2 linked regions of the Drosophila melanogaster genome follow. The protein of the gene in region 1 interacts with the protein of each later gene in a pairwise test. Each region holds a gene or a part of one and is shown on either strand. Other genes may lie near its edges. The genes, in order: NfI and Fer2.

Region 1 (5,021 bases):
GACATCATTTTTCATGTCAGCGACCTCATCTTTTCTGTTTGGATCATTACTTCGATTATACATAGTTATATGTGGCGATCTTACGCCCGGAGTAGTTGAGAAAGTCGTATTTGTATTGTTAATTGAATTATGAGTATTTATAAAGTTGGCCAAGTACAAGTCCAATTCCCGAACAGACACGTTAATGTGGTACGGATTTACACATAATCCTGGATGTAAACATTCCGGATTTTTTTCTAACCGCTCACCATCTGTGCTTTCTAATGGAATCGCCTTGAAGAGTATAACCATGACCAAATCAAGCCGCCATACTTTGTCAGCCTGTCTTAAGCAGTCAATTCGTCTCATTTTTCCCTTTTGATCGGGGTTTGAGAGAACACAAATTGATTTTCTTTTCCCGATTATAGATTGCACAAAATCCTCTCGACTTTCTTGTGTAATGTCTTTTCTGAGTTTTCCAAGAAGACGGGAAGCCCACTTTTGCTTCACCTCAGTCTTTTCATTCTAAAAAAAACGATTTTATACTTTTGTAAAAATTGTTTGTATTAATACCTGGAGTTCATCTTTACAATGTCTTTCTTCTTCCAGTGACATACGTTTTTCATGTTTCTTATAATATTTTCGTTTGGCGGCTTGCAAATTAAACCAAGAGTAGGAAAATGATTTGACGTACGGTAAGAGTGCCTCAATAAAAGGGTGAAATTCATCCTATATGTAAAAAAGGCATTTAATTAGTTACTGATCTTAAATAATTTTACATGTCTAAGTGCATATAACTTAATGTACTTTGTATATTAACAATAAGCTTAATACGGATTTAAGGACCATAGAACAGAGACTTAAAAGTCCCTAATTGCCTCTAACTGTAATAAGTTTTAAATACTTGACAATCCCAAAGATAGGTGAGGTATGTTATAGTTGTAGTTAGAGTTCTAAAGTGCAAAACAAGGAATGCTTAAAAAATCGACAAAAATTTACAAATAAAAACCATTTGCACCACCTTATGTATATATACAAAAAACTACGTATTCCATCATTCCTGATGGTACTAAAAATTATATTATATTTTTGTTTAAAAATATATTTCGATTAAAAGTGCAATTGTGAAATTGTCACATTTTTTTAAACAAATCAAGAAATTTATAAATATTATGTGCTTATACTTGCCAAATACAAAACATAAAGATGTCGCTAAATTTTTGCAAAAAACTGACTGATCTTTGCGTTTCAAAATTTAAAGAGCACCTAAACAGAATGGCAATAAAACAACAAAATGCTACGACCTTTTTTGTCAGCTTCTATCCCTTTTGTCATTTGCTTTGTTGTAAGTAACGATTGTTTAAAATGTGCTTGCCCTTCTAACATATGTGTGAACACAAACGTACACATTTTTTGAGAAAAAAGTTCATATATACATAAATGTATATATATGGTCTTGATCTTTTTAAAATATTAGTTGGATGTACGTGCGTACACATACATATGTTTGAAAATTTATATTAATATTCATAGTTTTAATAAGAGTATATCTAATATTAAAATATAACTGAAAGGATGAAAAGATTCTACAGAGTCTGTGTATAAACAGAACAGGGTTCGTTGTACCCGAATATGCACGATGGGGTTTTTATTTTCCTTTACGTATCCAAATGAGTACATCTAAAAGCAGTACGTTTGGGCGCTCTACGACGCCATCTATTCAATGCTTCAAGCCAGCTTCTTAGCTGTGGGAAAAAATTGTAACGTTGTTTGTGGAAAATGAAGCACTCTGTAATACTGCTTTTCCTGGATATGTTCACAAACTTCCGACTGGGTGGGATATGATATGGGATATCAAACGAATTAGAAAACAAGTATACTGTGTATATACGTACGTATATGTACAAATAAATGTAAATAGTGTTCTGTGAATAATTTCCCTACTTTTCCACATTTTTTTATTTCGTTCTAATGTTGATAAAAACAATGTTTCGAATTTATTCATAATATGACGGGATTCATTTTTAATGTACATACATTGCGGTTGCGGTTTCAACCCTTTTAGTTTAGTTTTAGTTTGTTATTTATATGTGAAATTTCCATTACTATTTAGAAGGCAAACTAATTATTATAATTTAACTCAAGAAATATAGAAGGTCTGATATTAAAAAGCATGCGAATTATTCCGATTAAGAAAAAACTATATTTGTACCTATCGTGATAAATTTGGTCTTGTAAAATTTAAAATATACGTATTCGAGAGCATAACTTAGTTCTCTTCAAATTATCTCACTGTTAATCGCATCTATCTTACTAAATAACTTACAGACTTTTTCGATTAAGCATCACTATTTTTCGTAAAAACCTAAAAAAGGTACCGACGGCGCTTTACCTGTCCCGATGATGATGTTTGCAAATAAGAAGAAACGTCCGTCTCGATCATACAGCCTCTTAAAGTTTCTGGTATAAACATACCTCAGGTATTGTTACTTTCATTGAATCGTTTATTGCATTGTCTATATCGAACGTAGTCTAAAGTGAATCAAAAAATGTATTGAGTTTAGGTAGTATTGCTGTGTATTTTATTATATAAATATAATTAATGTTCCTAGCAATATTTTCAACGCCCGTCTAACGCCCACAAATTCGAAAAACCTGTAAAAGATCCAGCGAGTAACTGCCAAGCAATTAATTTAACCACCGGTACGGATTCCTCCCAACTTACATGTCTTTATCTCCGTTAAAGGCCCTTCAGCTGAGTAACGCATATCTGAGGTATCGATGTACTCGGCTATTACTGTCGGGACAATCCGCAAAAAAGTTACCGAGAATCACATAAGAAGTAAACTTTCTCATGTGCTTACGCACAATAATGTATAGAGAATTAAGTCGTCCGCTCGTCTTTAAAGTTATTAAACTACAACCTGTAATACTATCTAAAAATGCAACTGTAATTTGTTTTCTTTAAGTAAACTAGTAGTATGAATGGTATTCTACCATAATATTTTAATAAAGTCCTTCTTAAAGTTAAGTCAGTTCTAAGACCTCGCGGGTTTTAATTATGTGAAAAACACAATTTCATATTTTTTTTGTTAACACTTACATGTATATAAAGGCAATTTCTAGTACACGGAACAATAACTGAGTAGCTGTGTTATGCAAAACTTGTGCTTATAGACTAAATTTAAAATGGGCAAATCACAGATGACTTCTTGGATTTTTGTTCTCGTCAACTGTTATTCTCTTTGAGAGACATACATATGTGCATGAATCCAAATTAATCAACAAATACATAAGCGACCCAAAGGGCCCGAGCGAACCAAACGTTCTAAAAATGGATACTAGTGCTCTGAGAGACTGGAACTAAACGAGAGAGCTCATTGAAATTCGAAATGCGCATGTGACACGCAACTACAGTAAAAATTCAACATGTCAGAAATATCTACCAAGCCCAATAGCTTGATGACAATATTAATTCGCCTAACTAAAAGGAACTCGGAAGTTTTTATATTAAAAAACACATTTTATGGCAAAAACTATAGATCAATCAAGGTGTGAATGCACAAAATTTTTTTTAAAAAATACTATATTAGTTTAAAATTAAGCAACATGTACAAAGAACAGTTCCCTATTCCATAAGAAAGGAAATGGCCGTATCCGTTTAGAAGGTTGATTTTAAGTACGTAGTTTCTTAGAATGTCGAATTTGTGCAAGTTCGTTTCCGAAGATTCCACTCCTCCTCTGAAGTCCTAAAAAGGTTTTTTGTTTGTTGAAATTAGTCAATATGGCGAAATAAATTTTTTGGTCATCGAGTTCAAAGACTCTCAGATTCCAGTAATTAATTTTTCTGGAATATCGATAGAAATTGGGGAATGAAATAAAAACATTCAAAAATGGGCGTTAGAGTGCCCAGTGCAAAAACTTGTTTGGCACATTGATGGAAAAGGCGGTTTGTGTGCGTACATTTGGAACATTTGGAATCTTCCTTTCTAATCTCAACTCTCCTGCTTTAATAGTTCCTGAGATCGAAAGACTTCGCCAGATCAACTCGACTATTGATCTTGATCAGTAATACGTTTTTTTTTGTTCGAAACGCTTCCTTCAACATGTTACACACATTTCAACGAACATAGTACACCCCCATATTATAAGTGGTGACCATAAAGGCCTTGGTTATTGGATGAAATGAATGTCAACTTCTTGTAAAAAGAGCGATTTTACCCTATAAACCCGATCAAGACCGATAGACTTTTATTGATTTGGAATAAAGTTTTTCTCGCTTTTGAGATGAAGATATTTTGCGTCGAAATAATTGGATTAAAGAAATCCCAAATGCATTTGGGATGGGATAGTTGACTTCCGCGTCTATCAGATTACGCTTACTGAGGGAGGATAGATAGAGAGGCAGGTTACAGACGGCGAGGGAGGACGAAAAGCGAGACTTCACGAGTGAGGGCAAGGCGGCAGGAAAAGCAAGAAAGCAAGATACAAAGACTGACCTGCACAAACGGAAAAACCGTGGACATTGGAGACGCCGAAGATTAACGTTTAAAGTGGGCCCATTTAAGCATTTCAAAGACTAAATAGCCAGTCATCATGAATCAATTGAAAGGCAGAATCCGGATAGGTACGACACTAGTAAAGACCAAACCATGGCATTGACCCGGCGAGTCCAGTCCTAAAATAAACCCCTGCGCGTGTCAGGACTGTGCTTATGGCCTTGTCAAATGTTTTAGGAATTGATGCCAGGAGCGTTCATAAAAACTGAATATGCGTGGTACCGGCAAGACCAGTCGGAGCAAATGTGGGGCTAACGTGTTGTTGTTACGCTCGGCGGAAGCCTAGAAAACGCTGCCATATTGTTACCTTATGTCCGTATCCAACAGAAAATCCGTTGAAACGCAGCGCACAATAACTTTACATTTAAATTTTGGGAGTGGCTGTGTGTGTTCAAAAAGTAGTTCGGCAAACAAGGCTAACAACAAATTTTATAAATATTTTAAAAACTTTCAAAAGTTGGGGAGCGGGTTTTTGGAAACATA
Region 2 (4,314 bases), on another chromosome or scaffold:
GCGATGACAAGTCCACCTCAGTGGGTTATGGGTTAGGGTTAGGATTAGGGGAAGTACCGGTCTAAAGGGCGGCTTTCCTGCGGCAATTGCAAAAGTTAAATTAACAATCGTGTTTACATTGGTTGGTAACAAGATTTCACTTAAGGATGTCAGCTTTGTTCGCGGCACCACAATTCTATCTCCAGCTCAATCGGTCTGAACTCGAATTCTGCACAGGATTCGGGCACTTACCCTCCATCAAAACTGATTACTGTCATCAGAGCCCGGAGTTCTGGGTGCGAGGGGTGTACGAAGTGTGCGCCGACGCGTGCGACAAGCAAATTTGTCTGGTAATGAAAAGGTTTGCGCATCCGCATCCCTGACATATTGCCAGTCCCTTTGTTCTGCGGATCGGTCTGCTCGGGATTTTCGCGCCTCGGGTTAGGGCACGCGACCAGGTCGCCCGACTGGGCGGGGATTCTCTGACGTAGCTAATTTGCGAGCAAACCAAAACATCAAATAAACATAATTCAATTTCAACAATTGCCCCGTGACGACTGCTGACAAAGACTGCGGCTTCGAGTGGTTCCAGATCCCGATTCTGATCCTGATCCTGTTTCTTGTTCTGGTTAGGTTAAATGAGCCGTGAAATGTAGCGACCAGCTATCTGCCTTAGATCTAATTGCCCTGACTCTGCTTTGTGTCCTCGTCCCGTGGGAATCGAACTTTAGTCGAGTCAAATCAACAGGTCCATGGGCCCCTATTTTGTACTCCGATTACCAGCAGATTTCATCGTATATCCCTTTCCCCATATGGTTGTAAAAACTGATTTTAAAAGGGGAAGCGGGAGGGTTATCTGGGGTTAGGTTAGACGGGTCCCCCGCCTCCAGAAAGCTCCACTCGTCCTCCCCCATCATCAAAGCGGTGGACTCAAACATGGCGACTTCCTGCTGTGCGAAATATAATGGCAGAATGTCAAAAACAGGTGAAGGAAGCACAAAGCGAATGGAGCTGGATCTTAAAGGGGAGTGGCTGCAATGGTATTGTTTCGGCTAGCGAGACTTTAAGCTGTCCTACAATCAACGAACCAATTTTGTGCATTAAGGAAAATTATAAATAAATCGGGATATATATTTTAAAACACAATAAAATTACTTATTAACTTTTCTTAAAATAACTTTAAGCCAAAAAATTTAATAAGGATGGCTTGTATAAAACATGTTTCTGAACAAATATCAAAGTCATTCTGATTTCTAAGTAGACGGGCAAATCAACTACCATAATTAACTTGAAATCCAGATCTACGCCCAGCAATTGAAGGGTAGCCAGAGGCGAATAAGTCCAACGAATTTCCCACAGCATCCGCTCCATTTGCAGGGGCAAACACCCTGTACTTGGCAAGCTCCGCCCATCTCGTAGACGGCTCACGGTAACTGGCTGCAAGGACGTTTAGGGGTGGAAAGGTCCTGGCCAGAGTTGTGGCATTTCCAATTGGATCTGCGGCACTATAAAAGGCTCGCAATTCCCGGGAGATGGACTCACTAAAGTTTTTAACTTATTGGACAGCGGAAGTGCGTAAAAGTGTCGGAAAAGTTAATAGTCGTTCTAGATTTTAATTGGATTAATATTGTTTAGTGAAAAAATAACACATTTGATAAGAAAATGTCGCGAAATCAATTGCCGGATTCGTCGTCTTCACCGCCCATTAGGTACGGATGTTATATAAATATATATAAAATAATAAATATACTATAATAAATACGTAAATTATTCTCTGATTATAATGATAAAATTCGAAAATGTTTTAATGTACGACATAAACGAAAAACGTATGCATATTTATTTAATCAAATAACTGAATAATTGCTCATATATACAGTTTTATTTAATAAAAAATAAATCTATTTATTTACATAAGTATGCGCGCAGAAGTGGAGTCGCGCCCAGAATCTGAACTGACTTTCGTCAGTGCCGTCGGTATCTCGATTTGATTAAATACACGGATACAAAATTAATTACTTTAGACTTTACAATACAGTCCTAATCATCAAATGTTCAATTCTTACCTTTAACAGCCATTTACCCTTCCACAATTTCGACGATGATCTGATTAACGATTTGCCCTCCTGCATTTATGCGGGTCAGCATCAAGGCGGAGGCGCCACCGGTGGAGGTGGTGGATCGGGAGGTGGCGGTGGCAGTTCTGGGCTGCGTCTGAGCTCCAACAACCTGCGTCACATCCAGCAGCATTATATGCAACATAGCGGAGGTATGACGGAGAATAAATATATTTACGTCAAGACACCTTGAATATCTTTCTGAAATCCCTCAGAAAATCTGCTCGACTCCTCTACCAATCCAATGGGGGTGCACAATTCCGGGGGAGGAGCACCCTTAATGTGCAACAGCCCCAGTGCCAGCAGCAGTGGAGGAGGGTGCGGCAACGCAGGATCTGCTACTCCTGGCGGTGCAGGTGGTCCCAATCCTGGATATGGATCCGTGGGAGCTGCAACTGCGTCCAGCTACAAAATGCAGCGACAGGCGGCCAATGTGCGGGAAAGGAAACGCATCCAGAGGTCCGCCCCAACTGGGTACACCAAATGGTCTTTTCCATTTTACAACTTACTATCCCACGATCTCTTAACCAGAAATTATAACTAACAAGCTTTCCTTTTTTTTTTGTATTTTTGCGCTTTGCAGTAGCATCAATTCGGCTTTCGATGAGCTAAGGGTCCATGTACCCACCTTTCCGTACGAGAAACGTCTGAGCAAGATCGACACTCTGCGGCTTGCCATCGCCTATATATCTCTGCTCCGTGAGGTACTACAAACCGACTACGATCCCCTAACCTATGTGGAGAAGTGTCTGCGCGGAGAGATCAAAGCGGATAGGGCTAATTGGAATACGAGTGGTGAGTAGAGAATTTGGTCGGAATATCAATGGTCAATAAATGGTTCGCTTCGCAGATCTCACAGCTCGTCTGTCGTGGATCAACTGGGAGAACCTCGGAGTACATCCTGGTAGGCGAACCCTGCTTACCTCGTTGGCTCTCTCCTCGGAACCCATGTGCGGAGCTCATTGCGGAATGCCGTAGATTCGCTCTATATATTTGAGGCTTAGCCTATCAACTGCTGAAAGCACTTACCACTTAAGCTTCTGATCTTCCCCAAAGATTACAAAGTCTTCCCTTTAGGTTTTGATATCCCAAAATAGTTTAAGGCTGGACATATTTCTACAGTTACTAACAGTTAGCAATAGTATTTTATTTGAAAAGCGTCTCGGCTGCACGAAATACAAGACCCATCTGCCATTGAAGCCCACTACTGTGTTTAATAAATAGTTATTGGTTTCAAAGGCTCGCAGGATAATGCATTTACAAATCAATTCCTCAAATTATATTTCAGGATAAATCTTTTGTAAATAGTATTGAGTATTGGGCAACCGATCTGACAAACCGACAAACCAGTTGCAGCTAACAGACGTTTTACAGTTAGTCAACTATGTAACAACTTTAAAAGCATTTATATATATAAAAGTAAATACATGTTTTAACTAGACGTAGACATTAACATAGCTCCCTATCAAAGTACACATACTCGAAAATAAATACTTCTTTGATCAACAAGATAACTTAGAACACAAAATGTTTGTTGTTGGGTAAAAGGAGGGCTAAATGCGCTGCCGATGGTTAGGCATGTATGTAATTTGTATAATATTTATGTACTTGCTCTATTTGGACTACATGCGGAAGATATCAACTAGAAACTTTTGGCTACTACTCCTACGGCATACGTACGTAGGTACATATGCGCTTAAACTAATCTGTTCAACTCTGTTAAATTTCAAATTTCGCTTTGATAACTCGACCAGATTTCGTTGGCTAATACTCAAATTGTGTTGACCTTGGCTACAATGGTAATACAAATGCGCGCACATAAGTATGTACTAAATAGAAACGATTACATAATGCACACTCACAATAATGAACATAAACACAATGACACGGCTGAACTACGCTCCTAATAATTGAATTTTCGATTGCTTCTCCAATTTGTTTTTGGTTTTGTTGCTGTTGTTTGATCTATTGGTCATAGAGCCCTTTCCACACTGGCTCCTTAGGCCGGATTAAGCACGGCCACCTTGCGTAGGCTCTCTAGCTCGCTTCTCTTCAAACGCAGACTGAACATGGCCTCAACAAAGCCATGACAGTCCGTCACAATGTTGTCCTGGATCATGGTATCCCGGAATAGATTGGCCAGGGCAGCAATATCATCACAGCCCAGAATGGCGTTCTTGTGAGTGACGAACATGGTTAGGGCGGCACGAAAAACGAT

The links.
Region 2: the proteins of NfI (region 1) and Fer2 interact in a two-hybrid assay, tested with the Drosophila melanogaster proteins (one large-scale study listed by BioGRID).

The regions. Positions count from the first base shown.
Region 1 is NC_004353.4:273,209-278,229, forward strand, and holds the start of NfI (nuclear factor I), read right to left. Parts: upstream 3,162-5,021; 5' UTR 3,083-3,161; intron 2,512-3,082; 5' UTR 2,453-2,511; coding exon 2,372-2,452; intron 709-2,371; coding exon 553-708; intron 505-552; coding exon 1-504.
Region 2 is NT_033777.3:16,148,548-16,152,861, reverse strand, and holds Fer2 (48 related 2), read left to right. Parts: upstream 1-1,549; 5' UTR 1,550-1,641; coding exon 1,642-1,688; intron 1,689-2,054; coding exon 2,055-2,248; intron 2,249-2,311; coding exon 2,312-2,582; intron 2,583-2,679; coding exon 2,680-2,891; intron 2,892-2,946; coding exon 2,947-3,074; 3' UTR 3,075-3,493; downstream 3,494-4,314. Other genes in the region: CG5916 (uncharacterized protein), read right to left, coding at 4,096-4,314.